Ovis aries: one gene and its partners. Each later gene encodes a partner of the first gene's protein in a complex. Links are inferred from orthologs where the notes say so. Each region holds a gene or a part of one and is shown in the gene's direction. Other genes may lie near its edges. The genes, in order: POLR2L, ERCC3, GTF2F2, POLR1H, GTF2F1, TAF1B and POLR1C.

Evidence for each region.
Region 2: POLR2L (region 1) and ERCC3 share a complex: the UniProt entries of both Homo sapiens proteins name them as parts of the TBP-based Pol II pre-initiation complex. The link is inferred for Ovis aries from reciprocal best matches to the Homo sapiens genes POLR2L and ERCC3.
Region 3: POLR2L (region 1) and GTF2F2 share a complex: the UniProt entries of both Homo sapiens proteins name them as parts of the TBP-based Pol II pre-initiation complex. The link is inferred for Ovis aries from reciprocal best matches to the Homo sapiens genes POLR2L and GTF2F2.
Region 4: POLR2L (region 1) and POLR1H share a complex: the UniProt entries of both Homo sapiens proteins name them as parts of the pol I pre-initiation complex. The link is inferred for Ovis aries from reciprocal best matches to the Homo sapiens genes POLR2L and POLR1H.
Region 5: POLR2L (region 1) and GTF2F1 share a complex: the UniProt entries of both Homo sapiens proteins name them as parts of the TBP-based Pol II pre-initiation complex. The link is inferred for Ovis aries from reciprocal best matches to the Homo sapiens genes POLR2L and GTF2F1.
Region 6: POLR2L (region 1) and TAF1B share a complex: the UniProt entries of both Homo sapiens proteins name them as parts of the pol I pre-initiation complex. The link is inferred for Ovis aries from reciprocal best matches to the Homo sapiens genes POLR2L and TAF1B.
Region 7: POLR2L (region 1) and POLR1C share a complex: the UniProt entries of both Homo sapiens proteins name them as parts of the pol I pre-initiation complex. The link is inferred for Ovis aries from reciprocal best matches to the Homo sapiens genes POLR2L and POLR1C.

The regions. Positions count from the first base shown.
Region 1 is NC_056074.1:46,915,104-46,918,587, forward strand, and holds POLR2L (DNA-directed RNA polymerases I, II, and III subunit RPABC5), read left to right. Parts: upstream 1-1,214; 5' UTR 1,215-1,248; coding exon 1,249-1,343; intron 1,344-2,726; coding exon 2,727-2,835; 3' UTR 2,836-2,984; downstream 2,985-3,484. UniProt on the Homo sapiens protein: DNA-dependent RNA polymerase catalyzes the transcription of DNA into RNA using the four ribonucleoside triphosphates as substrates.
Region 2 is NC_056055.1:118,229,820-118,233,319, forward strand, and holds part of ERCC3 (general transcription and DNA repair factor IIH helicase subunit XPB), read left to right. Parts: intron 1-1,346; coding exon 1,347-1,396; intron 1,397-1,816; coding exon 1,817-1,952; intron 1,953-2,132; coding exon 2,133-2,297; intron 2,298-2,710; coding exon 2,711-2,915; intron 2,916-3,500. UniProt on the Homo sapiens protein: ATP-dependent 3'-5' DNA helicase/translocase. Binds dsDNA rather than ssDNA, unzipping it in a translocase rather than classical helicase activity. Component of the general transcription and DNA repair factor IIH (TFIIH) core complex.
Region 3 is NC_056063.1:15,657,311-15,661,272, forward strand, and holds the start of GTF2F2 (general transcription factor IIF subunit 2), read left to right. Parts: upstream 1-1,162; 5' UTR 1,163-1,295; coding exon 1,296-1,361; intron 1,362-3,962. UniProt on the Homo sapiens protein: TFIIF is a general transcription initiation factor that binds to RNA polymerase II and helps to recruit it to the initiation complex in collaboration with TFIIB.
Region 4 is NC_056073.1:27,951,223-27,955,232, reverse strand, and holds the start of POLR1H (DNA-directed RNA polymerase I subunit RPA12), read left to right. Parts: upstream 1-1,210; 5' UTR 1,211-1,270; intron 1,271-1,467; 5' UTR 1,468-1,486; coding exon 1,487-1,622; intron 1,623-1,860; coding exon 1,861-1,961; intron 1,962-2,382; coding exon 2,383-2,544; 3' UTR 2,545-4,010. UniProt on the Homo sapiens protein: Core component of RNA polymerase I (Pol I), a DNA-dependent RNA polymerase which synthesizes ribosomal RNA precursors using the four ribonucleoside triphosphates as substrates. Can mediate Pol I proofreading of the nascent RNA transcript.
Region 5 is NC_056058.1:15,923,959-15,927,920, forward strand, and holds the start of GTF2F1 (general transcription factor IIF subunit 1), read left to right. Parts: upstream 1-1,162; 5' UTR 1,163-1,574; coding exon 1,575-1,586; intron 1,587-1,670; coding exon 1,671-1,717; intron 1,718-2,201; coding exon 2,202-2,274; intron 2,275-3,472; coding exon 3,473-3,666; intron 3,667-3,962. UniProt on the Homo sapiens protein: TFIIF is a general transcription initiation factor that binds to RNA polymerase II and helps to recruit it to the initiation complex in collaboration with TFIIB. It promotes transcription elongation.
Region 6 is NC_056056.1:19,100,624-19,104,123, forward strand, and holds part of TAF1B (TATA box-binding protein-associated factor RNA polymerase I subunit B), read left to right. Parts: intron 1-1,205; coding exon 1,206-1,303; intron 1,304-3,014; coding exon 3,015-3,110; intron 3,111-3,500. UniProt on the Homo sapiens protein: Component of RNA polymerase I core factor complex that acts as a GTF2B/TFIIB-like factor and plays a key role in multiple steps during transcription initiation such as pre-initiation complex (PIC) assembly and postpolymerase recruitment events in polymerase I (Pol I) transcription.
Region 7 is NC_056073.1:17,058,027-17,062,287, forward strand, and holds the start of POLR1C (DNA-directed RNA polymerases I and III subunit RPAC1), read left to right. Parts: upstream 1-1,461; 5' UTR 1,462-1,482; coding exon 1,483-1,551; intron 1,552-1,670; coding exon 1,671-1,742; intron 1,743-4,261. Other genes in the region: protein YIPF3, read right to left, coding at 4-110, 293-490, 1,092-1,172. UniProt on the Homo sapiens protein: DNA-dependent RNA polymerase catalyzes the transcription of DNA into RNA using the four ribonucleoside triphosphates as substrates.

The DNA.
Region 1 (3,484 bases):
GCCCCTTGACTTACAGTCAGAGTCCACCACCCACCCCAGGTGGACTCTGAGCTAAAGCCTGGGACCCAACATGGTGGGCCCACCCCCACCCCCCACCCCAACCAGAGACCCTGACGCCCCAGGCCAGCAAATATGAGGAGACCCTGCCTAGGTGCCTAGCCCACCCTCCTCAGCCCAAAGCTCGCCTCCTCCAGGGAGCCTTCCTTGCTTCTCAGTGCACACAGCCCTCTCCCAGCCGCCAGTCACAGGATCAGGGGGCTCACCTCTCGCCACTTCCCGAGACACAGCCCCCGCCCCCGCCCCCCCCCCGCTCCCTTTAAACCCCCACCGCCTCCAGCTCCCACAGCTTCTGTCCCGCACGGACGGGTGTCTGTCCGGCTCCCTCTTTAAGTCTCAGCTCAAAAGACACCCCGAGTGCCCTCCCGACCCTCAGAGCCGGCGCTCCCGGGTCACTGGCGCCCGCCCCTGCCGAGCGCGGACTGGAGCCTGGGCCGCCAGCGCCTCCCCCGGGAAGAAGGCAGGAGGGGGGGCCAAGCTGACCGCGGCGACGGCCGGAGCCCCCACCGGCTGGGTCGCCCCGCGCCGCCCGCCTGCAGGGATACGGGCAGCTACCGGGCCGGGACCGTTACTGTGCAGGCGACCCGGCCAGGCGGCGACCTCGAGGGTCCCTCGGACTCTGCGCAGAGACCCCCGAGTGCCCGCGGGCAGCGGCCCCAGGCGGAGAGGCCGCCCCCTGCCCGGCCCCTCCGGCCGCTCTCCGCGCCCCAGACCCGGCTCGCAACTTGTTGCTGAAACGCGGCTCGCGCTCTGCGCTCGGGGCCCCAGTTCGCGCGGGCCCGGCCGCACTCCGCCCGCGGCCCGGCAGGGGCGCTGTACCTGCCTCGCGCCCGCCGCGCGGAGTCGGTCGGCCGGGCACGAGGAACGCGAACGCCGCCGCCGAGCCCTTGCGGCCCCGCGCGGACGCCGTAGGCCGGGACGTACCAAGGCGCGGGCGGGGGGCTCCCGCCGGGCCCCGCCCCCGGCCCCGGCCCCCGGGCCCCGGCCCCCGGGCCCGCGCCCGCCGGAGGAGCCGCCGTCGCGGCGGGAGGCGGATGCCGGCGGCGCCGGGGCCGCGGGGAGGTGCACGGGGCGGGCCGGGCCGGCACCCCCGCGCCATGGGCGCGCCATGGGCACGCCGGGGCGGAAGCGCCGGGGGATCCGGGCGTCGGGCCGCCGGGCCGCGAAGCTTCTAGCTCCCGCGCCGCCGCCATGATCATCCCCGTTCGCTGCTTCACGTGTGGCAAGATCGTCGGCAACAAGTGGGAGGCCTACCTGGGCCTGCTGCAGGCCGAGTACACCGAGGGGTGAGGGGCGCGCTCCCGGCCGCCGGCCTGCGGGGCCCGGGGCGGGGAGGGTTTCCCAGCCTGCGCGGCCCGGGGCGAGGACAGGGGCGCCCGGCCTAAGGGGAGGGTTTCCCAGCCTGCGGGGCCCGGGGCGGCGGGACGGGGGCCCGGCCTGCGGGGCCCGGGGCGAGGACAGGGGCGCCCGGCCTAAGGGGAGGGTTTCCCAGCCTGCGGGGCTCGGAGCGAGGACACGGGGGCCCCGGCCTGCGGGGCCCGGGGCAGGGTCAAGGGGGCCTAGCCTGCGGCGTCGGCGTCTCGGGCGGCTGTCGAGGATCCAGGCTTGAGGGGTTGGGGTCTTGAGGCGGCAGTCAGGGGTCTTGGTCTCCAGGTCAGGAGCAAGGGACGTTCATCAGATCCCAGGTGACGCCGGCAAGGCTTTTATTCCCGGAGCCTTTGCCAGCCCTGTTCTCCAGACCTGCTCTCAGGAAAGCGTCTCCCACCCCCCAGTTCAGGCAGACGAGGGGAGCTAGTTGTCAAGCGCTGGTGTCTGGGGACTCGAGTATTCTGGCTCCACGCCTCCACCGCAGATAGGCCCCTGGCCACCTCTGTCCGTCAGCTCCCTAAGTTCTCCCTGCTATTAGGCCCACCCCGTGTCCTCAAAGACACTGATGCTGGGCAAGATGGAAGGCGAAAGGAGAAAGGAGCGGCAGAGGAGGACGCGGTTAGGTAGCATCAGCAGCTCAATGGACAGGAGTTCAAGCAAACTCTGGGAGATAGAGGAGAACATGAGCTCAGCGAGCTGCAGTCCATGGCGTCACGGACACGACCGAGCGGCTGAACAACAAACCGTGTCTTGCAGACTCACGGGCTTTTTTAGTACATAGGACAAGCTTCTGATCACATAGCCGTCATCATCAGGCTTTTGTGGGGTCCCTTTTCCGTGTTTGCCCCTTGGCACTGCAGTTACCGCCTTACTTGTCTGAGTTTACCCTAGACAAGAGTCTGACTTTGGTCCTTGTGTGGACAGCCCCATCCTTATCAAAGTGTGAACCTCTGGGACCTGGAGTGTGGTAGCAGGTGAGGTTCTCCGTGTAGCTGTGTTGGGTGGATAGGGAAGCAACGGACGGCCGTAGTATCTGCACCAGGCTTCGAGGAGGCTGCTGGAATGACCACAGTGCGAGTGAATGCTGGCAGCCTGCCCCAGACTCCTCCCCGAGATGCCCCAGGCCAGGGCTGCCCAAGCGGCCGCCCCTTTTATGGGTGCCACGCTGGTGCCCACACACAGGAGGCTTTGAGGGTGACTGGGGCCGTGTCTCTGGGAGGTGAGGGGGGCTGCTCCCCCCGGGCGAGGCCCTCTGTCTGCCGGGAGGAGCAGGCTGCAGCCAGATCTCTCCCCACCTGCAGGGACGCCCTGGACGCGCTGGGCCTGAAGCGCTACTGCTGCCGCCGCATGCTGCTTGCCCACGTGGACCTGATCGAGAAGCTGCTCAACTACGCTCCCCTGGAGAAGTGAGCCCGCGATGCCGCAGGGGGCGTCTCACCCATGGCTTGTTCCCCTGGGGTGTGGGGCGCCGGAAGCCACGCCCGCCCACGGCTCTGTTGGCGTGGGTCTTCCTCCCTGGAAAGAACTGTCTAGTAAATGTTTCTGAGGACTGCCAGGAAGTCCTAACAGTTGGTCTGGGTTTGTGGGCTGCCCCGCCGGTTCCTGGGGTTCTACCTGGTGCCCGAGGCCCGCACGGCCCAGGAGGAGGGTGGGCCTTCCATACGGGAGTGCTCAGCACGGGGCTCCCTTCCTCTGTGGGCGCTTGGCCCCACAGAAGACACAGATGTCACGAGTGCTTGGGGTGGGGGCACCGGCGTCCCACAGCGCTGTTCTGGGTGCCCTTCAGCCGAGAACAGAGGTCCCCACTTCCTCCCCCGGTATCTAATGCTCCAGACTTTCTGCGCTCTGAGTGGAGTGCTCCCTGTGGTCACAGCTGCGCATCCTGAGGTTGCTGCCGCCAGAAGCTTCCAGGCTCCACCCACAGCAGGCAGGCAGCTCCACTCCACCCCTGAGACCCCACAGCAGGTGGGAGGTGCCCTGAGGCAGCTCTCCTGGGCATCTGTTCTGAATGGGCTCTCAGTGCCCAGGCGTTAAATGCGTTGCCCTGAAAACCAACTAG
Region 2 (3,500 bases), on another chromosome or scaffold:
GTTTTGCTCTCAAAAAGTAGAAGCTACACAGAGAGTCAGATGTGACTGAAATGGACTCAGCATGCAGACAAGGGCACCAAAAGGTGTGCAGTAAACAGTCTGTCTCCACTCACCACTTTCTGTAGTGGCTCTGTATTTTATTCTTAACTTTTCTCGACTATGTCAACTACTGGTTTAAGCTGTTTTCACTTCCCCACCCCACCCCTGCATCATGGGCATGTGGGATCTTAGTTCCCTGACCAGGACTTTAACCGTGGGCCCTCTGCAGTGAGAGCCTCCAGTTCTAACCACTGGACCACCAGGGAATTCCTGCTATTTTCAATGAAAAAAAATTATTTCTATTGGATTTATTTTACTTGAAGTAGTTTTACTGTTAGTTTGTTTTCTTCAAAATCATTTTTACACTTTTATCTTTAATTTTTGTCCTTCTGTTTCTTTCGGGTTTTTGTGGGTAGTGCTGTTTTTTAACCTGTAGCTTGAGTTAGATACTTAGTTCATTAATTTCTAGTCATCCTTATTAGTAGAAATATTTAAACATATGTATTCAGTTCAGTTCAGTTCAGTCGCTCAGTCATGTCCGACTCTTTGTGACCCCATGAATTGCAGCACGCCAGGCCTCCCTGTCCATCACCAACTCTCGGAGTTCACCCAAACTCACATCTATCGAGTCGGTGATGCCATCCAGTCATCTCATCCTCCGTCGTCCCCTTCTCCTCCTGCCCCCAATCTCTCCCAGCATCAGAGTCTTTTCCAGTGAGTCAACTATTTGCATGAGGTGGCCAAAGTACTGGAGTTTCAGCTTTAGCATCATTCCTTCCAAAGAAATCGCAGGGCTGATCTCCTTTAGAATGGACTGGTTGGATCTCCTTGCAGTCCAAGGGACTCTCGAGAGTCTTCTCCAACACCACAGTTCAAAAGCATCGATCCTTCGGCGCTCAGCTTTCTTCACAGTCCCACTCTCGCATCCATACATGACCACTGGAAAAACCATAGCCTTGACTAGATGGACCTTTGCTGGCAAAGTAATGTCTCTGCTTTTCAATATGTATGCCTATGGCTGATTCTTTTTGTTGTATGGCAAAAACCAACACAATATTGTAAAGCAGTTGTTTTTTAATTAAAAATAAGTTAAAAATAAAAACAGGTAAAGCTAAAAAAAAGTGGAAGCTAATAGAAAAAGCTCTATTTAGACAGATCTACCCCTTTAGGATTGCACATTGGATGTTCCTAAAGTAAAATGAACCCTTCACTTAGTTGAAAGGTAGTAAAATGCGTCCGGTAATGACTTGTTCTGAGTGAGCTGCATGTGGCTGATTTTACCTGTCTGGTGTTGTCCCTCCCTGCAGTTGTGTACTGTCAGCTATGGGAAAGTCAAGCTGGTCCTGAAGCACAACAGGTAAGGGACTCTGTGACAGGCCCACCAAGGCGTTTCCACCCTCTGCCTGTCAGTGGCAGGAAGCTAACGTTTGTGGGCTGTGCTCTGCACTAACAACTGCTCCCCAGAGTAAGGGGCTAAAGGGAATGAGGGAAGCTGTGTGGCCAGAACTGTTCACTCCCTGACCACTGTATTCCCCTGGCAGTGGAGCTGGGGCTCCGATCCCTGCTAATGTGTCTTCAAAGTGGGGCTTTGCCCGCAGCCCTTCTGTGCGCTCTCATGACCAGTAGCTCATCACTCAGCTTCGGCAAAGGGATGGGGCAGGGTGACTGTGCAGAGGGGCCAGAGGCCGCCGTCCCCAGACCATCCGAAGAATGCTAAGTGGACCCTTCCGCAAATCCTGTCCCGGCCAGCAGGCTTCTGCTTCCTCCCCTTTTACAGGTACTTCGTTGAAAGCTCTCATCCTGACGTCATCCAGCATCTTCTCCAGGATGCCGTGATCCGGGAGTGCCGCCTGAGGAACTCTGAGGGGGAGGCCACCGAGCTCATCACCGAGACTTTCACAAGCAAATCTGCTGTATGTGGGCTCCTGGGTCACCCTCAGGGGTTGGACACATTCAGGATTGTAGCCCTCAGGTGCTTTTAGTCCAGCATTTATAGCCTAGTAGTCCTGCCGCTTTCTTGCAGCTTTGACTGTGCTTGGTAGCAGTAGGGTTAAATGTTCTGTGCAAGTCCACATCCTGCCTTTCTCTTCCAGATTGCTAAGAGCGCTGAAGGTAGCGGTGGGCCCTCCACTTCCCGAGTGACAGATCCACAGGGTAAATCTGACATCCCCACAGACCTGTTTGATTTTTATGAGCAAATGGACAAGGATGAGGAGGAGGAAGAAGAGACACAGACAGTATCTTTTGAAGTCAAGCAGGTTAGTGAACATAACTCCTGGTTGCTTCTCTAAGCTGATATCAGAAGCTGGTCTGGCCCTGCCTGGACTGTCCATACTTTGTGTGAGAAGAAGGAACCCCTATCTGTCTCCAGTGTGCTGTTTCATCATTCTTCCTGATGGAGTTGTATCTGAGTGCCCATTCTTCCTGCTGGTGGATCAGTGAGAAATGGTGTCTCTGGGGTGTTTTGGTAGCTGATTGGATTTAATTTTGTTCATTGCCTTAGTTTGGGGTCCTTTTCTATGCTTTAAACCCAGTTGTTATCAAGCAAGATCTGAAATTGCAAAAGTCTAGGTAAACTTGATTTTTATTGTTAGGTGTCTTAGGATATGTGTTGCTTCTGAGCACGCTTTGGAGTTAACAAGATTATGAAACCTTCATGCTCACTTTCCAGGAAATGATTGAAGAACTCCAGAAACGTTGCATCCACCTGGAGTACCCTCTGTTGGCAGAATACGACTTTCGGAATGATTCTGTCAACCCTGATATCAACATTGACCTGAAGCCCACAGCTGTCCTTAGACCTTACCAGGAGAAGAGTTTGCGGAAGATGTTTGGGAATGGGCGCGCGCGCTCCGGGGTCATTGTCCTTCCTTGTGGTGAGTGACTGAGTGAAGGAGATGGGTGGGCTGCTGTCTCTGCATCTGTCCTGAGTCATGTCGGGCCTAGCCTAGGTTCTTGGCCGGAAATCGTAGTACACTCAGCTGGAGCCTTGCCCCAGACTCTAGAAGGTGAACTGTCTCAGGAAGGGGCCTGCACCTTCTTTCTTTTTAAGCTGCATGGGTTACTTTGAAGCACATCCCTGGTTAAGGAAGAATTGCTTTTTAAAGGAACAGCTTGATTTTTAATCTTGATCTTCATTAATGGTGGACGGTGGTAAACTCAGAAGCCCCTGGAGTTTCACCTTCCTGTGTCTTTGCCAGTAGCACTGTTCACACGACCATGTTGCTGAGTGCTCAGCCCAGTTTATGTGTGACCATAGTAGCCATCTTTTACTCAGTCCCTCCGAAGGGAGTCCATGTGTTGGGTACAGTATACCCTAGCAGCACTGCTGTCCCAGGGTCTCGGGCCAGTTACACCTTAGATTTAGTTTTCCCATCTTTAAAACAGCAATAGTAGAAGTGTCTCTTACTCATTGTTTGTTTTGACAGATGTTGCTTTTTACGATTTAAACAAGGTGCATA
Region 3 (3,962 bases), on another chromosome or scaffold:
CGGGAAGAAAAAATTATCTTCCTCTGGGGGAGTTGATAGAAGGTCTCATAGGAAGAGACATTTCCATTAATCTTGAAACCTAAGTAGGTGTCTGCCAATCAGAAGGCAGTACGGGAAGAATAGGGCATCTGAGTAAAGGGAATCCAGTGTGCAGAGGCTCTGAATAATTGAGGAACATTCTGATACGTTCCGGGAGGTCTGACGGGTTAGATGGGCTTAGATGCGTGGTGCATTGAGTACACCACACTTTGATGAGGTCAAACTGTGAGGGCCTATGTGGAGAGGACTGAATTTTATTCTAGAGGCAAGAAGAGAGAGGGGAGACTCTTTAAGCAGGGGAGTTGAACAATCAGAGTTTTCTGTTACATGTCTATTGTCATTGACGTCATGAAACGGCTCCAAACTTGCGGACACAGCCGGGAAAGGAGAGGGCGCGACAGACTGCCAGCGTACCACTGACATGTATACACCACCATGTGTAAAAAGCGATTAATAGCTCGTGGGTAGTTGCTGTAGCGCACAGGGAGCTCAGGTCGGGGTTCTCTGACAACCTAGAGGGGTGGGATAGAGGTGGGGTTGGAGGGGGGCTCAAGACGGAGGGGACTTATGTACACTTACAGCTGATTCATGTTGTCGTAGAGCAGAAACTAACATAACATTGTAAAGCGCTTATACTCCAATTAAAAATAAATTAAAAACAATAGCAAACAAAAAACAAAGGGCTCTGGGTTTTGGAGTCTTAAAGGGGTGCGCCCTACTCGTTTAACTGAAGGTGCTCAGGGTAGCCTTTCAATAAAGACCACTCTGCTAATTCATTTTATTCATTTCTCCTACCTGTCCTCCAAATGCTGTCTTTCTCTCCTTGGCCTGGATTGGACATACACTGACAGCCTTTGTCTCTTTAAACCCCGTTTTTCTGTTTTGACACTTTCTTCTGTTACTCTGACCTGGTCTTTATATGTACTGCTGATGTTTGCGCCCATCCCAACCTCGTTTTCAATTACTCAGACACAGTCCCTGGAAGTAGCCACGCCCACTCAAGAAGGTGCACGCCGATGAAGTTTGTCCTCAGTAGCGCGCCGTACTGACGGCCGCAGTGCGCAGGCGCAGTTCCCCGCTGCCGGCCGTGTGTGTTCTTCTTTCCCAGGGCTCCCGGCATCCCGGAAGTTGGACCGCGGGCTCTTCACAGTCAACCTCCGGCCAGGGTTCGCCGTGTGCTTCGCTCCCTCGTCCCGCAGTCACCCGCTCCCGGGGCCGCTGCTCTAAGTCCGCAGGTCTCCGCCGGCGACAGACCCATGGCCGAGCGCGGAGAACTCGACCTGACTGGCGCCAAACAGAACACCGGAGTGTGGCTGGTCAAGGTAAGGTTTGCGTGGCTCTCGCTTTTAAAGTAGTTTAAGTGACTTGAGGGGAGAAGGAACTGGCAACCCACTCCAGTACTCTTGCCTGGGAAATTCCATGGACGGAGGAGCCTGGTGGGCTACAGTCCATGGGGTCTCAAAGGGTCGGATACGACTGAGCGACTTCACTTTCTTTCTATAGTTCCTTTGGGAGAAGGAAGTGGCAACCCACTGCGGTGTTCTTGCCTGGAGAACCCCATGGACAGAGGGGCCTGGTGGGCTGCAGTCTATGGGGTTATAAAGAGTCGGACACGACTGAGCAACTAACATACACGCGCGCGCACACACACGCACACACACACACGTAACTTGAGACCGTCCCACTTTGTGCACCTTTTAAAACTCATTAGGGCTCTCTCGTTTAGAACTTCGCTTACCTTGAGAGGCAGGGTTGGTTGGTAGGCTTGTTTGCAGACGAGGACATTAGTTCAGGGACACCCAGTGTGTTTTAGCCAACTAAGAGTCTGAACGTGCCTGGAATGGATCTCCTTATCCCACGACCTGGTTTTTCTGGGCTCCTGTCTTGATGGCCCCCCAGTTTGAGCATTTTATCCCAGGCTGAAGAATTTCTTCATCTCCACTTGCTGAAACTGATTTCAGTCATCAATCTCTATAAGAAAGTTGAGCGTTTGCTTTCTGGGTAGTTTTCTGAGCCAGAAAGTAGAACTGTTCTCTGAGTACCCTGGTGGCTCAGATGGTAAAGCATCTGCCTGCAATTCAGGAGACCCAGGTTCGATCCCTGGGTGGGGAAGATCCCCTGGAGAAGGGAATGGCAGCCCACTTCAGTATCCTTGCCTGGAAAATCCCTTTTGAAGGAGCCTGATAAGTTACAGTCCATGGGGTCCCAAAGAGTTGGACAGGACTAAGTGACTTCACTTTCACTCGTAAGGTGTTCTTTTAGGTTGATGGGTCTTATGGAGTTCCCAGGAGAGGTGAGAGTGCTCTGAACTCAGGGAAGGAGAGACTGTGGACTGGAGTGTTCTTTTAGAGTTCGATTGTGTCTCAGGTGAAACTGTCAGTAATTTTTTTTTTTTTTGGTAAAGGCAGCATTTTGATTAACCCTTAGTAAGTACTTACTGAGCTTCCCTTGTGGCTCAGCTGGTAAGGAATCCACTTGCAATGTGGGAGACCTAGGTTCGATCCCTGGGTTGGGAAGATCCCCTGGAGGAGGGAAAGGCTACCCACTCCGGTATTCTGGCCTAGAGAATTCCATGGACTGTATAGTCCATGGGGTCGCAAAGAGTCAGACACTGAGCAACCTTCACTTCTTCACTTAGTGAGTACACTATTTATCCCTTACTTTTTCAAATTGGGGACTGTTGTTTCTTAGGAAGTTTTCATAAGACATGTGTATATTCAAAATGTGATTATGATAGTCTTGAAAACTCAAGTAAAACATAGAGACCTTTATTTGTTAGATTTTTGGAAAGCTTTTATCACACGTCTGAGTGTTTATCAGTTAAATCTGAGAGGCCCTTCTAGTCTTCCTCTCTGATGTAGCTCCCTTATGATTCAGTTCGGTCGCTCAGTTGTGTCTGACTCTGCGACCCCATGAACTGCAGCACACCAGGCTTCTTTGTCCATCACCGATTCCCGGAGCTTACTCAAACTCATGTTCATTGAGTCGGTGATGCCATCCAACCATCTCATCTTCTGTAGTCCCCTGCTCCTGCCCTTATGATTATTCACTAGCATGTTGAGCCTGTATTAACATTCTTCAAAGCACATGCACAGTCATATTTCGCGAGAGTAGGCGTCTTGCCTGTCACCCAGAACTGTGTTTGGTGTAAGGTAAATAGCTCAGATAATGTGATGTATGCATGCATGAATGAATGACTGAATGAACTCTTATTCTTCAACCCTAGCCTTAATCTCTGGTGCTGCTTTGACTTATCACAGTGATATCAGTGTGATTTAAAATGATGGAGTAACCAAGTATCTCTCTCCTCCTGCATGCTAGATGGAGAGAGATCATTAGGGAGGAGATCTCCTTTGCAGATGGAAAGAGCTTGAAAAGGTGGCGAGAGCTTGAGGTGATGTGTTTCTGCTTGGAGCGCAGTAGATGCTCAATAAATGTTTGCCTTACAGAGGTTTGGATGGGGGGCCATAGTATCTCCGTAGCATACCATGGAGAGTGGTTCTGAAATGCAGGAGTGAGAATGCACAGTAATGTGGTGTGGGCTGGAAAACAAAGAGGACATCATGCCTGGAGTAGCGGATTGGGACCGTATACTGACATCATCACGTTGTGAAGTGGGAATGTTTTAACACTGCTGCTGCTGCTGCTAAGTCACTTCAGTCATGTCCGACTCTTCGTGACCCCATAGACGGCAGCCCACCAGGCTCCCCCGTCCCAGGGATTCTCCAGACAAGAACACTGGAGTGGGTTGCCATTTCCTTCTCTAATGCATGAAAGTGAAAAGTGAAAGTGAAGTCGCTCAGTCATGTCCGACTGTTTGAGACCCCATGGACTGCAGCCCACCAGGCTCCCCCGTCCATGGGATTTTTCAGGCAAGAGTACTGGAGTGGGGTGCCATTGCCTTCTCCAGTTTTAACTCTAGT
Region 4 (4,010 bases), on another chromosome or scaffold:
GTAGGTTCCAGATGAATTAAAACAGCAAAACTTTTAAGACACTTGTCCTCATGTTTTATAAAAGATCAGGGATATGTCAACTCTCCATCTAATGGATGCAATGATGATGTAGAGCTGGTTGGATGGGAGGCCGGGGACAAGGTGGAAAGGGGTCTGCAACTGAAAGCAAACCTCGACAGTCTTCGTCACAAGGCTGCTCCCTTGACTAATGCTAACCTCCCTCATCTGACGGGCATCTAAAGAGGAAGGAGTCCCAATCTCTTCTGTTCCACTACCTCCAAAGTCTTGAGCCCCTTCCTAAAGTGTCCTACTTCATCCCTGCTTCCTTTCGTTCCTAGTGACTAGGATTCCTCCTCCGCCTTCACCGTTTCCACTTCATGCCCGGTAAGAGGTCGACTCACCCCTTCCAAAGGCCCAGTTTAGTTCAGTCGCGTCCGACTCTTTGCGACCCCATGTACTGCAGCATGCCAGGCCTCCCTGTCCATCACCAACTCCCGGAGCTTGCTCAAACTCACGTCCATCGAGTGGGTGATGCCATCTAACCATCTCATCCTCTGTCCTCCCCTTCACCTCCTGCCTTCAATCTTTCCCAGCATCAGGGTCTTTTCAAATAAGTCAGTTCTTCGCATCAGATGGCCAGAGTATTGGAGTTTCAGCTTCAGCATCAGTCCTTCCAGTGAATATCCAGGACTGATTTCCTTTAGGCTTGACTGCTTTGATGTCCTTGCTGTCCAAGGAACTCTCAAGAGTCTTCTCCAATACCACGGTTCAAAAGCATCAATTCTTCGTCGCCAAGGGCCCAGCACTCGAGCCAGGCGGTGCTCTGCAGAGCGCCCTTGCTTGCATCGCGAGGTCCGAGGAGCGCTAGAACTGTAACTTCCAGAATGTTTCGCTTTGGTTTTTGTTTTTTTTAAAAGAACCAACTCAAAAAGAAAAAAAATAAAAATAAAAAAAAAAAAAGAACCAACTCAGGAACAGGGGAAGTTGTAGTTCCCAGAACTGGGTAGTGAGGGGAAAACAACCGGAGGCTCAGCTTCAATCACCTGCTTTCTTATCCAACATCACAAATCCAGCCTGAAAGTAGCGCTACAACCTTCCTTCAAAGGTTCCGCTCCCTCCGGGGATCAAGTTTGCGATTAATTATGACGTAACAGCCAATCGACAGGCCGGACGACAGGGCGCTCTAGCCCGCTTGCTCTCGCTAGTCCGCAGCGGCGTAGAGCCGGCGTTCTAGCTCGCGGAGTTGGCTTCCTCTTCTCGCCTGTCCCAGGTAAGCAAACCCCCAAGTCGAAGTACCGGACCCCGGTTTGGAATTCTGGATATGTGGGCTCCTTGGTCTTAGAGGCACAGGCATACGTGGGAGAAGGACTCGGGTTCTGTATGCTTAGGTCCAGGGACAGAATAGGAATGACCCTTCAGTGGGGAGGGAGCTACTCTCGTTTGTTAGCAATCTCCTCTTCTTCCCAGTCCTCGACCACCCTCCGTCATGGACCTCGCCGGCATCTGCTCCAGCTTTCAGTCGGACCTGGATTTCTGTCCAGATTGCGGCTCGGTCCTGCCTCTGCCCGGGGCTCAGGATGCGGTCGCCTGTACCCGCTGTGGCTTCTCCATCAATGTGCGAGGTAAGGGGCTTGTACGCAGCGACCCCGGCAGAGGGCCCAGCGTGAAAGGGTCAGTGGCTTGAGGACCTTAATATCGGTTGGATTGAAGAGGGGGACCCTGAAGCAGGAAATCAGGCACTTTTGGCCTTGGGTCGAAACCTGAAGGGAAGAATATAAGGCCTCCTGTCCTAACCGAGAGGGAGTTATGGGTGTCAGCACTCCTTACTGTCTCCACAACCAGTTCTTACTGTTTGCGCAGACTTTGAGGGGAAGGTTGTGAAAACCTCAGTTGTGTTTAACAAACTGGGGACAGCCATGCCTTTGTCGATGGAGGAAGGACCTGAGTTCCAGGGACCTGTGGTGAGTGAATGACATCCAGGACTGGCCCCATCAAAGGAGGGTGGGAAAGAAATGGAGGGGCGATTGCACAGATCTGGAGAGTTTTGTACCTAATTCCAAGAGGGAAGGGTGTGTGCTGTGCTGAGTCGTGTCTGACTCTTTGTGACCCCGTGGACTGTAGCCTGCCAGGCTCCTCTGTCCATGGAATTTTCCAGGTAAGAATACTGGAGCGGATTGCCATTTCCTCCTCCACGGGATCTTCCCGAGCCAGGGATGGAACCCGCGTCTCCAGCATTGGCAGGCGGATTCTTTACCACTGTGCCACGTGGGAAGTCCTTTAAGAGGGAAGAGGGGTCTTTAAAACATCAGAGTCTGGGGAGTGTGACAGCCTGATGTCTGTGACCGGAAAGGGAGATTATTAATCCCACCAGTTGCTTTCCAGGTTGACAGGCGCTGCTCTCGATGTGGGCACGAGGGAATGGCATACCACACCAGGCAGATGCGATCAGCCGATGAAGGGCAGACTGTCTTCTACACCTGTACCAACTGCAAGTGCGTATCCTTTTCCTCCTCTCTGCCCTTTCTCAATCTGTTTGCGACCTAAACAAATCCAGTGACTTACTTTTTGTACTGAATAAACAGTTGTGTTCTTTGGTCCGATCCCTCTCTTCTGTACAGTTGAAGTAATAGGGAAACTTGAGGTCGTTTTTTATTTTAGAAAATTACACTTTTCTTATCCTTTTTATACTCGGTGAATTAAACCTTTTAAGATATTTAAAAGGAAAGAAAAAAAATACAGAAAGCTAATGTTGCTTGATGATCTGGGTGTTACTGTTGCATCTTCCACTGTACTCAAGGTAGTTTTACTTCGATGAGAATTAGTCATGGGTGCTTTAAAGAACATGATTCTCTGAATAGTTTTGAGAACTCCCCTTTGTCTTTGGGGTTCTGTGGTTTCACTACAGTGTATCTGGATGTGGCTTTCTTTTGTTTATCATGTGTAGGATTTGCTGGGCTTTCTGAAAGTAAAGATTGATTTTTTTTTCTTTTCCGTCAACCTTGGAAAATTATCTGCCATGTCTCATTGAATATTGCCTTTACCTATGTTCTCACATTCTGGAGTTCTAATTAGTTGCTTATTAGACTTTACCCACTACTCCATTTCTCTCACCCTTTCATAATTTTCCATCTATTTTCTCTTTATATTGCTTCTGGGTAAATTCTTCTGGTCTTTCTTCCGCTTCACTAATTCTGTCTTCAGTTTATGTCAGTTATTGTTACTTAAAAAAATTTTTTTTTTTGAGTTCTGCTTATTTTTCAAGTCTCATTTTTAATAATTCATGATTCTTTAATCCTATATTATTTGTAATTCTTACATATATTTAAATATATTAAGCCTGATATTTATATTGTGTCTCCTAATTCTCATACCCACAGTTTTTGTGGATCTGATGCTGCCGTTATTCCTGCAGACTTTCTCATCGTGCTTTTTTTGTTGTATAATTTTTTAATATAAGCTCAGATTTTTTAGAATTTGGAAAACTATATTCTTAGCATGTGTGTTTCCTCTTCAGGTGCCTTGAAGCACTACCAAGCTGGAATGACTTTAAATAAATTCTCAGCTTCATGTGTTTTGTAGCAAATAGGTAGTATGGATTTGTGCTGCGAATCTAATGTAAGGCCAGCTTTTGGTTAGAAATTCTAGAGGGAAATTTTTTTCTCTCTCTACCTAGTGAGACTGTCAAATTCCTCTTCTGCAGAGTTGGATTATTTTTCTTGTTCACTTCTATACAGGTGTAGCCCTTTGGAGGTTTCAAACTTACTCTGAGTATCTCCTCTCAGACATTGTAGGCTTGTCTCTGGTTCACTCATGTGGCTCTCAAAACAGCAAGGGCACCAGTGTACCAGGGGCTTCAGTTTTAATGTACCTGTCTAGATTCCTGGTTTTGTATACTTTCACTCACTGTGAAGATTGCCTTTACTTTCTTGCCTTCTCATCAATGGATTAAAAATATAGTTAGAAATGCCTTTGGGGAGTATTTCTCAGTCAGGCTGAGAAATTGTTTAATT
Region 5 (3,962 bases), on another chromosome or scaffold:
GACCCCCACCCCTGCTGGAAGTCCATACTGCAGTCCCTTCAGGTTGCAGCTCACCCTTCAGCTAATCTCTGTCTAAAGAGCCTCCCACCCCATTGTTCCCAGTCTCAAAACCCTAATTCCCCACCACCCCACAAAAAGAATTCCATTTCCTCCAGTAATGGTCACTATCAGTAATGAGTCTGCCCGTTTACTTGTTCTTGTTTGTCTCCCCAGTCAGACTATGTACTACAAGAACACAGAATCTGTTTGTCTTCCTTGTCCCTGTATTTCTAGTACTTGGCATAGTTTCTGACATAATCGTAGCAAGTGAGGAGTAGATAAATGTCCATAACTATCAGAAACATCTATGGAGACCTGTAGTTTATAGTGCTGGCTTCCTACATTCCCCACGGACTTCCCAGAATCCAGCGCAGCAGGTGCTAAAAGTGAAAGTCAGTCAGTCAGTCAGTCAGGCGTGTCCGACTCTTTGTGACCCATGGAATTCTCCAGGCCAGAATACTGGAGTGGGTAGCCTTTCACTTCTCCAGGGGACCTTTCCAACCCAAGGATCAAACCCAGGTCTCCCGCATTGCAGGTGGATTCCTTACCAGCTGAGCCACAAGGGAAGCCCAGCAGGTGCTAACATGGATCACTGAATACCTGACCCTGAGCATGCGAAGTTGTGTTACAATAAGGTAGGGGGCCGGGAGGAAGGGCGTGTGCACACCTGGACTTGAGGAGGGGTTACCTGCATTCTCCCGCCCTCCATAACCTCCTTCCCTTCTCCCGAGTAAACCAGCCACCCCCGCGATGTTTCCCTTCTTCTGGGGCCTCAGGGGCCTGCCTATTTGGGGCAGTTTGGACTTGCACAAACCCAACCCGCCTGAGGCCCGTGGGGTGAGCGCACTCCATCCCCTACACAGGCCCTGACCTCTCCTAGTTCGGTTCAACGTCACAAGGGCCCCTGGCCCGATTATTTGGCGAGATGATAGGGCTACCCCCGGGGGCTGTGGGGAGAAATGAACCCCAAAGAGGCTCAGGTAGAGCCGCAGCAGTCGGCTGCCAAGGAGGCCTCGGTTGCTGTGGTAACGCGACCTCCCCGGACTCACTTCCGCAGTAAAGTAGCGCATGCGCAAATGGCCCGACAGGCCGCGAGGGTGGCGGGTTTCCTCCCTTCCTTCCCAAGATACCCCGCGGTCCTGAGATGTAATGTCACTGGGGGCGTCTTCACGTCACCTGTTTGGGTTATCCGCGTGATGAGGTTATCGGCCTGATGGGATTATCGTGCTATACAAACTGCGGGCCGCCAGAGCGCTAGATACAGAAGGCGCTACCTTCAGTTGGGAGTAGGTTGCTTCCCCTAGGCCTGCGGGAGGATTTCGATTCCGGTTTAGGCGGCTGCGCAGGCGCAGACTTGGCACAGGCGGTCTCAAGCCAATCGCCGACCCAGTGCCGCCTCCGGATAGCTTTCCCCAGGATCGGTTGTATCCCGGGCCGGAGACCGGACACCTCGAGGGCGGCCTCCGAGGGACGCGCACCCGGAGGGAGGCGTAAAGAAAGGTTCTGATCAGACCCGGGTCAATCGCCCATCGCCCATGGCGGCCCTCGTAAGTGTGCGGCCAGGCGGTTCGGCTGCGGTCCCGGTGGCCTCTGTAGCCTCTCACTCACTGTCCTGCTTTCTCTCCCCTCAGGGCCCCAGCAGCCAGAATGTCACTGAGTATGTCGTCCGAGTTCCCAAGTAAGTCCCTGACCCTACCAACCCCCTTTCCCTCCAGAAAAGGATTAAAATCTCGAGGTTCCAGGAGTGTCTGATTCTTCTTCCAGGGCTGGGGTTGAGCCGAGGCCTCTGGGGCATCACTGTTTTTTTAACAGAGTGAATGAATAAGTACATTAATATACAGTAACACGCAGCCTGCCTGCCTAGGATTCCCTCAGCCAGGAATGGCAACAGTGACTCTACTGGGTGGATTCTTTTTGATCCTGCGAAATTCCGTTACAGTATTTTCCTCCTTCAGGAGGCAGTCCCTGCCTGTCCACCCCGCTGCCCAGGGCTGAGTTCCCAATTATCCCATCTTGAGTTCCCAGAAATATTTGTCCTTAACTGATCTCTGGGGTTTTTTTCATGGGTCCCCAGCGTTGCCCAGCACAAAGAACTGAGCCTGGGAGGGTTTGCTGAATTAATGAATGATTAACTGAGCACTGCCTCTTTTTGCCCATACCAGAAATACCACCAAAAAATACAATATCATGGCTTTCAATGCAGCCGATAAAGTCAACCTCACTACTTGGAATCAGGTAAGTCCGAGTTCTGAGGCTGTGAGAAAACCTGACCCTGGATTTGATGTAATAGTTGCTTGGTTGTGATAGTAACTAAGGCTTAGGATCCTCCCCTCTCCCCACGTGCAGATAAATGATAACTAAGGCCCAGGCTGAGCCTCTGGGCACCCCTGAGGACAAGATATGTGTGGCCTTGCAGGAGGCTTTCTTCTGAAATTTGTGCCCACTGATGGGCATTCTGGGTCGAGATCTATCTGGGCAAGAGAGGAGGGGGCTGCCTCCTAGAGGTGACTCAGAGCCCCTATTGTTGGAGACTCCAGAGCGGTCTTTAGAAACTGTTTTAGTTGCAGGCTGCTCTAGCAGAATTCCAGAGACTGGGTGGTTTGTAAACAACAGACATTTATTTCCCACAGTTCTGGAGGCTGGAAGTCCAAGATCAGGGCGCCAGCAGATCTGGTGTCCTGGTTCATAGCTGGTGCCTTTGCACTGTACTCTCACCTGGGTACACAGCACTCTGGAATCCTTTGTTAAAGAGGGCACTTATCTCACTCCTAATAGGCTGCAGCCTCACAACCTAATCATCATCTATCAGAGGCCCCGCCCCCAAATACCATCACACCGGAAATTAGGTTATATGCATTTGGGGAGAATTCCCTGTAGATACAGCGGTTAGGACTCCAGCTAGGACTCTAGCCCATTCACTGCTGGGGGCCTAGGTTCCATCCCTGGTGGGGGAACTAAGATTCCAGAAGTCCGAGATCACAGCCAAAAAGAATGCATTTTGGAGGCATGCAAACATTCATCCATAGCAGAGGCTATTAAAGGGTTACAAACAGTCTGTAAAGAGATTTGTCCACTGTGGGGTCGAGGGCAAGTGAAGGGAGAACAGGGCGGAGGTGAAGGCTCTGGACCAGGTGAGCCTGTGATGGGGTTTGCAGCAAACAGGTTACGAGAAGTTATTGGACTCTGGGGTGTCTTTTTTTCTTTTTTTCTTTTTTAATTTTTCATTTGGAAATAACTTCAAACTTTCAAAAAGCTGCAAAAACAGACATCGCAGCGGGCTTTAGACAGATCCCTTCGCCCACATTCACAGAGCCTCTTTTCGCCAAGCGGGAAGTTGGCTCAGAGGGTCCACCGCTCAGCCTGCGGGGAGGAAGGGGTGTTGTTGGATGGGGAGCAGGCTGCCTGATGAGAAGTCTCGCCTTCCGTCTCCCAGGCCCGGCTGGAACGAGACCTGAGCAACAAGAAGATTTACCAAGAGGAGGAGATGCCGGAGTCGGGCGCCGGCAGCGAGTTCAACCGCAAGCTCCGGGAGGAGGCGCGGAGGAAGAAGTACGGCATTGTCCTCAAGGAGTTCCGGCCGGAGGACCAGCCCTGGCTGCTGCGGGTCAACGGTAAATCAGGCCGAAAGTAAGTGCCCCTTCCCGCCACTCCCCGGTACCCTTGGCCGAACTTCTAGGTCCTGCAGCTGGGGGTGACAGCTCATCCACCCATGAAGGGGTTTTCTTGGGGAAGATGAGCCAAGGGGTTGCTCGAGTGTGTGCTAGGGATGCAGGAATCCCGGCCTGCCGTCCTCCTGCGCCCAGCCAAGGACTGCCCAGAGCTGAGGGTTGAGAACCATGGGGGAGACAGAGATTAAGGGAAATGAAGGGCACTCTGGTTGAACAGCGAGCACGAAGGCGTGAAACATCGAGCCCCAGGGACTG
Region 6 (3,500 bases), on another chromosome or scaffold:
CTGGAGCTTCAGCTTTAGCATCATTCCTTCCAAAGAAATCCCAGGGTTGATCTCCTTCAGAATGGACTGGTTGTATCTCCTTGCAGTCCAAGGGACTCTCAAGAGTCTTCTCTAACACCACAGTTCAAAAGCATCAATTCTTCGGCGCTCAGCCTTCTTCACAGTCCAACTCTCACATCCATACATGACCACTGGAAAAACCATAGCCTTGACTAGCCGGACCTTAGTCGGCAAAGTAATGTCTCTGCTTTTGAATATGCTATCTAGGTTGGTCATAACTTTTCTTCCAAGGAGTAAGCATCTTTTAATTTCATGGCTGCAGTCTCCTATGCAAACTAAAACCCTTTTCAGAAAGTGAGTTAGGCAGCAGAGGTGGGGAGACCTTGTGATACTGAGGTTAGGGAGGGGCACAGGAACCCTGTGACTTTCTGTGGGGAAGAGGGCATCTTGGAGTCATAGCAGCAGACTTCAGAAGCTTATTTTTTCAGAGTTGCAGTATTTGTCAACCTGGGAGGGGTAAAACATGAGTCTTAACAGATTTGAGCATTTTCTTTTAACTGGTAGTTTTATTTAAACATGTAGCTTTGTCCATTCCTTCAGAATCTCTTAAGACTGTTTTGAGGTTGCAAGAAAATAACCTTAAAATACATGGTGACTGGACCGAGTTCAATAAATCTTAGTTTCCTTGCTTTCGGTTTCACACTCGTACCTGGAACCTTCCTGATGAAAAGAGAAAGCTGGTGAGCAGTTCATTTTCTTTGTGTGTTCTTGTTGTATGCCCTTTCCTGCCATCTTGGAGCTTCCCTTCTTTGCTTTGGTTCATTCTCCAAATACTCATTGTTCCCTTTCTGTTTGAGGTGGAACAGAGGAGTCGGAGGAGAAACAGTGGCTGAGTGTTGAGTATCCTTTCATTTAGGCTTCTGCTGGGCACTGTTCAGTACATTTATAAAACTTGTTTTCTTTTTTTAATGTGGTGACTAACCATTTTGCTGCCCTTATATTGATATTTCAGAAAAATTAAATTTACTTTAGCATTTGTGTACAGATTTGCCAGATTGGAAGCGAGAATATAAGAATGGAAACTCTACTCAGGGATATGAAAAAATTCCAGTTGAAGTGTGTGAAACACAATTGTAACTGTGCAGTAGCATTACATTTAGTAAATAAGAAACTCAGATGTCTGAAGTCTGTCATTTGTCATTTAGAGAAAGGCTGGGATTGGTATGTGTGTGAAGGTTTTCAGCACATACTTTATCAACAAGCAGAAGCCTTACAGAGCCTTGGAGTAGGCCCAGAGTTAAAGGTAAGTCCATTTGAGTTCAGATGTTAGCCTTTCATTTTGTTGTTTGAAGAACAGTAGACTTAGAGTGGAATTAAGAGTAGTAGGGTTATCAGTAATAGCACTTGGCCTATTAGAAACAATCATTTTTCTGATGATTTTTCTTTAATCCTTTTGCAAGACCAGCAATCTCCAAAATGTGTTTTCTAGGGTGTAAATAAGCAGTACATCCAAAAGAAAGTAAGAAAGGTTTTAGTCTTCAGATAATTAGGAAACATTAGGTTAAAGTAAAACAAATAACTTTGTCCACTTATTGGTGCCTTTTATGTGTTAATGTGCTGTTTCATTTCCTAGGGGATGCAATGTGCAGTATTCACAATTTGAGGGTAAAATCCTCTGGTGTATGTGAGTGGGTGGGATGGGGGGAGTAGCATCCATCAGGACTTCCAGAAAATGCACTTTGTGCAGTGGTACATTAAATCAGTGGTTTTCAAACTTGAGTGTGTATCAGAATCAACTTGGACGGCTTGTTAAAACACAGATTGCTTGACCCCATTCCAGAGTTTCTGATAAGCAGGTCCGGAGTAGGGCCCAAGAATCTGCGTTTCTAATAAGTTTCCAGGTAACACTGATGCTGCTGGAGTCAGCTTAGTTGGAGAGAAGTTTCCATGTGTATGTGGAATGAGTGAATAGGACATTATATAGCACTATGCTCATAAATGAAAACAAGAGCAAAAAGTGAAGGAAGAAAGATCATCTACTGAAGTCACCAAGAAAAGATTGGTAAAGCAGCCTTTCCTATTCAAAGCAATGAATGTCTGCAGCAGGCAGGCAGAGTCACTCGTAGGCCAGTGCATAGCCCAAGTGGTGAGCCTTAACCTTGACAGTCATTGCTTAGGTTAAGATTGCTGGTAGCCTGCAGGTTTGTGAATCTGGTTTCTCCTGACATAGGTATCCGATGTATGAGAGTTTTTAATAAATGGTTTCAGGTAGTTCCACCAAATAGCTTCAGTAGGGTTTACACCTGTATAGCTTTCTGCTGATACCTACTTCAGCGAGATTATCCTAAAAACAGTTTCTCTAAAATAAACTGATAAGTATGACTGTTTAGACCTGACCAGCTAAATGCTGCAGGAATGGTTTTATGATAACCCAGTCTCCAGAGTCAGAGCTGACTCTAGATCCTATTTATGGGTCATTTTGGCCATGTTACTCAGTGTCTTCAGTGGTAAAATATGAGCTAATAACTGTTTTGCAGGATTGTGTTAAAGCTTATGGATGCCTTGTGCCCAGTAGGTGATGAATAAATGGAAAAGCTGCTTTGTTTTGTTTTATTTTCACTTGGACAGAGGGTGGGAGGAGGAAGGGGGTGTCAGTAGGTCACTAAATGCAGTAGCAACTTTGCTCCTAACTAGAAGTGTAGTCACATGTAAGTGACTTTCTTTCTCTGGATCTTAATTTATTTAACTTGTAAAAAGAAGGGATTCAACTAGGTGATTTTAAGGAACTTTTTCCTTCCTTGCCTAAAATCTAAGATTAGGAAGACTATATTCAGTGCTTCTCATATACCTGATACTGAAATGATAATTCTTTCAAGGAAATTAAGTAAGAAAGGTAAGAATACATTTAGATGGAAGCAGTATGTGAAGTACAAGAGAATAGAGGTTCTGTGGTCTGGATGTGCCAGTATATTTTCATCATAACCTGAAGCATTCTTGTTTCTCTTCCACATTAGAATGAAGTTTTGCATAATTTTTGGAAGCGCTACCTTCAGAAGAGCAAGCAGGCATATTGTAAAAACCCAGTTCATACCAGCAGAAGGAAAACTACGGTAAGTCACGTGTCTGACAAGTGGGACCAAAAGACATATCTGGTGAGAGATAGAAATGAAGATGAAGTTCAACCTTACCTGAATTATGGTTTTCAGAAGAGTTCCATTGAAGAGGTTTCATTTATAGTCTAGAAGGAAAGGGTCAGTGATGTAGGCATTGAAATTAATTTTGATTTCTTATTTGACCAGTTGAAACATAAAGAAAATTGTGGTTAAGTTTCTAAATAGAAGTTTAAAGGAGTTTCTACCATTGTACTATTAAAAACTGTTTCACAGATGTTACTCTTTTTGCTTGGAACACCTGCTTACTTTACCTGGCATTTCAAGATTCAGCTCAGTTGTCATCTGGATGCTTTACCACCCCACCCCCATCCATCAAAGCAGTTATAT
Region 7 (4,261 bases), on another chromosome or scaffold:
CACCTGCTTCGCACCTGGGCTGGCTCCACATCAAAGTAGGGTCTCAGGATGTCGATGTTGGCATACAAGCTGAAGGCTCTGGAGGCTTGTCTCTTCCCTGCCTGCCACATCTATAGCAAGGAAGATGGGTGGGGTGAAAGGGTGCTGTCAAACTCTTGGCTCTATGTTACTTATTTTTTATCTGATTTCAAAATGGTGTGAACTGGACAACCTGGGGTGGACTTCACCAACTCCAGAACCAGAGGTCTCCTCGGTATACTTTTCCACCTGTCAGGGAGCCAACTGTGCTTACCTGATCAGCCACCTGCCGGCTCAGCTGTCCCTTAAAGCCCTTCATCCCCAGGAACTCCCCATCCTCTTCTTCAGCAGCAGCTGCATCAGCATCCACTTCTTCCTCACGCAGGCGCTGATGCAGCTCACCCATGTCCTCGAAGCTGGAGCCTGAGGTATCATCCATGTTCTCCATGTCAATCACTGCTGAGCCCCCACCCTGTGAAGACAACAGACCCTAGAGTGCAGGACCTTTCTGCTTCGTCCAGTTGAGTCCTTCTCCGTTCACCACAAGGTTTGGGGCTAGGGGACTTGAAATCGCCACAGATGACGCCACTCTCTTCTCCTCATTTGGTCTCAGAACCCCTGCTTGTTTGGTGCTCTGTTCTAGTCTGGGGAACCTAGTCCCTGTCTTCCATACACGGCTTTTTCCTACCTTCCCTACCAAGGCCCCAAAGGGCTGCAAAGTGCCCATTTCCTTCATCTCTCCCAACCCCAAAACAAGGCTATGCGCACCAAGTGTGGTTTTGGCTAGTGAATCCCATCCACCCCCAAGCCCACTCCCGCCATGCCTGTCTCCGACTGACTTTCCTAAACTTGTGGAAAGCAAGAGCAATTGGGCCCAGATACCTAAGGCCCCTGGCTGGAGTACCAGTCTGGAGCTTTAAGACCAGCACTAGCCCCACTGCCTTTCTTGTGCACGAAGACTCAAAAGAAGATAAAAAGTGTTGCAAATGGACCAGACTTCCAGGCTCTGAGGGAGAGTTCAGGGCGGCTGCCGGCCCAGGGGCTGCGGGCAGCCGGAGCCGTGGGGCCATTACCTGGATGTTTTCTTCGAACCCTCCCCATTCCGGGCCGGTCCCGTTTCGGGCGCCGCCAGCCGGCGCCGCCGGAGTTGCCATGTCCCTCGAGGGCTCCCGTCGCTGAAGCCCGTGCTTGTCCCGCGCGCGGAGGAGGAGTGGGAGAGATGCGGGCCTGAGAAAGGGACAGGTCTAGGGACAAGAAAGAAAGGTACTATGGGTCGGAATGCAAAAAAAGGAGAAACCCGGATGTTTGGCTCAAACCAACTTCCGGTAGCTGGGGACGTGGACGGAGGCAAGGCACAGTCTCGCGATATTTAAGATTCTAGGAGGTGCGTTGCTACAGAAACGGAGGCGGACGACTAGTGCGCACGCATCAGTTAGGTACTCTGGTCACGTGGAGGAGTTGAAGATGGCGGCGGCCCAGGCTGTGGAGGAAATGAGGACCCGCGTGGTTCTAGGGGAGTTTGGGGTTCGCAATGTAAGTCTTGTGGCCTTCAGCTCGGGAGCAGAGTGAATCAGGGATGAGTTGGCGTCAGAGTGGGGACGGGCTTGGCCTCGCTGCCCCTTCGCAGACATTCTCGTCTCTCTTTGCTCTAGGTTCATACCACTGACTTTCCCGGTAACTATTGCGGCTACGATGATGCCTGGGACCAGGACCGCTTTGAGAAGGTAGGTGGAGCTGGAACTGTGGGATCGGACTTTGTGATATGAGCAACCTGTGCCTTAGAAGCTGTCCTTGTAATTTCCAAGGCGCAGCAGAAAAGGGCAGCTTGCAGCAAGGGGCAGAGGGCGGTAGCTGGAAGCGGGGTTGTAGCTTCCCCCACCGGTAGTCCTAACTACGACCACAGGAGCCAGCAGTTAGGGCTAGAGTCCCTAGTCCTTGTCTGCCTAGTCAAGAACGAATTCAGGCGAGGAGGCAGAAGGTACAGAGTAAAGTACGAAGTTGATTGAAAAGAGAAGTACATGTAGAAAGGCACACGGGCAGGACCCTCCCATGGGATGCACACTCACCTCTTAGCCAAGATGGATCTGGAAGTGAAGGCTTCTGGGAAGAGCAAGACTCGTTATGGCCTGAATTATCCTCTGACTTTTGACCCCAAGTAGCCTTTCTGCACTTGTGATGTATCTTCCTTATCCTAAAAAGGGGGAAGCGGAGATCCCTTAATCCTTACTCAGACGAGGGATTTCGCCTTGCTTTGTTCTTGCTATAATTATTTCTTCAAGATATTTACTAGAGACAAAGACTGTTGACTCTGTTTCTGTTCTCTCTTCGTTTCTGGAGGGCAAACAGGAGGCTGATAGGAAATTCCTCAGCTGGAGCCCGTCTGTCTCCTGCCATACTTGTGATGTGGGACATGCTAAAGTAAAGGTCCAGGTTCTTATTCTACCTGTCCAAAGTGCAAAAAAATGTCACACAGAGAAACTGAGGTGTAGAGAGAACAAAGAAGCAATTTATTAAGGAGAAGGGAAAGCAGGCACTCACAGAAGAATACGAGTGTCCACACGAGTGAGGAGACCACCTGAGGGTCTTTCTAGCCCCACTCCATTATTTTAATTCCTTGAATGGGTGCAGGTTTCTTTGTTGTTGTTCTTCAGTTGCTCAGTTGGGTCTGACTTTGTGACCCCAGGGAATGCAGCACGACAAGCTTCCCTGTCGTTCAGTATCTCCTGGAGTTTGCTCAAACTCATGTCCATTGAGTCAGTGATACCATCCAACCATCTCATCCTCTGTCACCCACTTCTCCTCTTGCCCTCAATCTTTCCCAGCATCACTCGTTTGCAGTGAGTCAGCTCTTGGCATTGCGTGGCCAAAGTATTGGAGCTTCAGCTTCAGCCTCAGTCCTTCAATGAATGTTCAGGGTTTATTTCTTCTAGGATTGACTGGTTTGATCATTTGATCTTCCTTGTTGTCTAAGGAACTCTCAAGAGTCTTCTCCAGCACCACAATTCGAAGGCATCAATTCTTTGGCACTCAGCTTTCTCTCACATCCATGCACGGCTACTGGAAAAACCATAGCTGTGACTATATGGACCTTTGTCAGCAAAGTGATGTCTCTGCTTTTTAATGTGCTGTCTAGCTTTGTCATAGCTTTTCTTCCAAGGAGCAAGTGTCTTTCAAGGCTGCAGTCACCGTCTGCAGTAACTTTGGAGCCCAAGAAAATGAAGTCTGTCACTGTTACCATTTTTTCCCCGTTTGTCTGTCATGAAATGATGGTTCAGATGCCATGATCTTAGTTTTTTGAATGTTGAGTTTTAAGCCAGCTTTTTCACTCTTCTCTTTCACTTTCATCAAGAGGCTGTTTAGTTCCTCTTCGGTTTCTGCCGTTAGGATCGTGTCACCTACGTATCTGAGGTTATTGATATTTCTCCCAGCAATCTTGACTGCAGCTTGTGCTTCATCTAGTACTCTGCATATAAGTTAAATAAGCAGGGTGACAATACACAGCCTTGACGTCCTCCTTCCCCAATTTTGAACCAGTCCATTGTTCCATCTCCAGTTCTGACTGTTGCTTCTGGATCTGCATACAGGTTTTTCAGGAGGCAGGCAATGTGGTCTGGTATTCTCATCTCTTTAATTTTCCACAGTTGTGATCCACACAGTCAAAGGCTTTAGCTTACTCATTGAAGCAGAAGTAAATGTTTTTCTGGACTTCTCTTGCTTTTTCTATGATCCAGAGGATGTTGGCAATTTGGCCTCTAGTTCCTCTGCCTTTTCTAAATCCAGCTTGAACATCTGGAAGTTCTTGGTTCACATACCATTGAAGCCTAGCTTGGGGAATTTTGAGCATAATTTTGCTGGCATGTGAAACGACTGCAGTTGTGCAGTAGTTTGGACATTGTTTGGCATTGCCTTTCTTTGGGATTGGAATGAAAACTGACCTTTTCCAGTCTTGTGGTCACTGCTTAGTTTTTCCAAATTTGCTGGCATATTGAGTGCTGTACTTTAACAGCATCATCTTTTAGGCTTTTAAATAGTTCAACTGGAATTCCATCACCTCCACTAGCCTTGCTCATAGTAATGCTTCTTAAGGCCCACTTGACTTATTTGATTAGGGACGGTCTATTTATTATTGGGAGGATGGGTGGTTATAACAGCTTCTCTTGTGCATCTGTCTCCTAAAGCCACCACACTAAGAGCTTTCCCCCCTTTAATTTTCCCTTGGAGTGAAACACCAGGTTGTATAGAA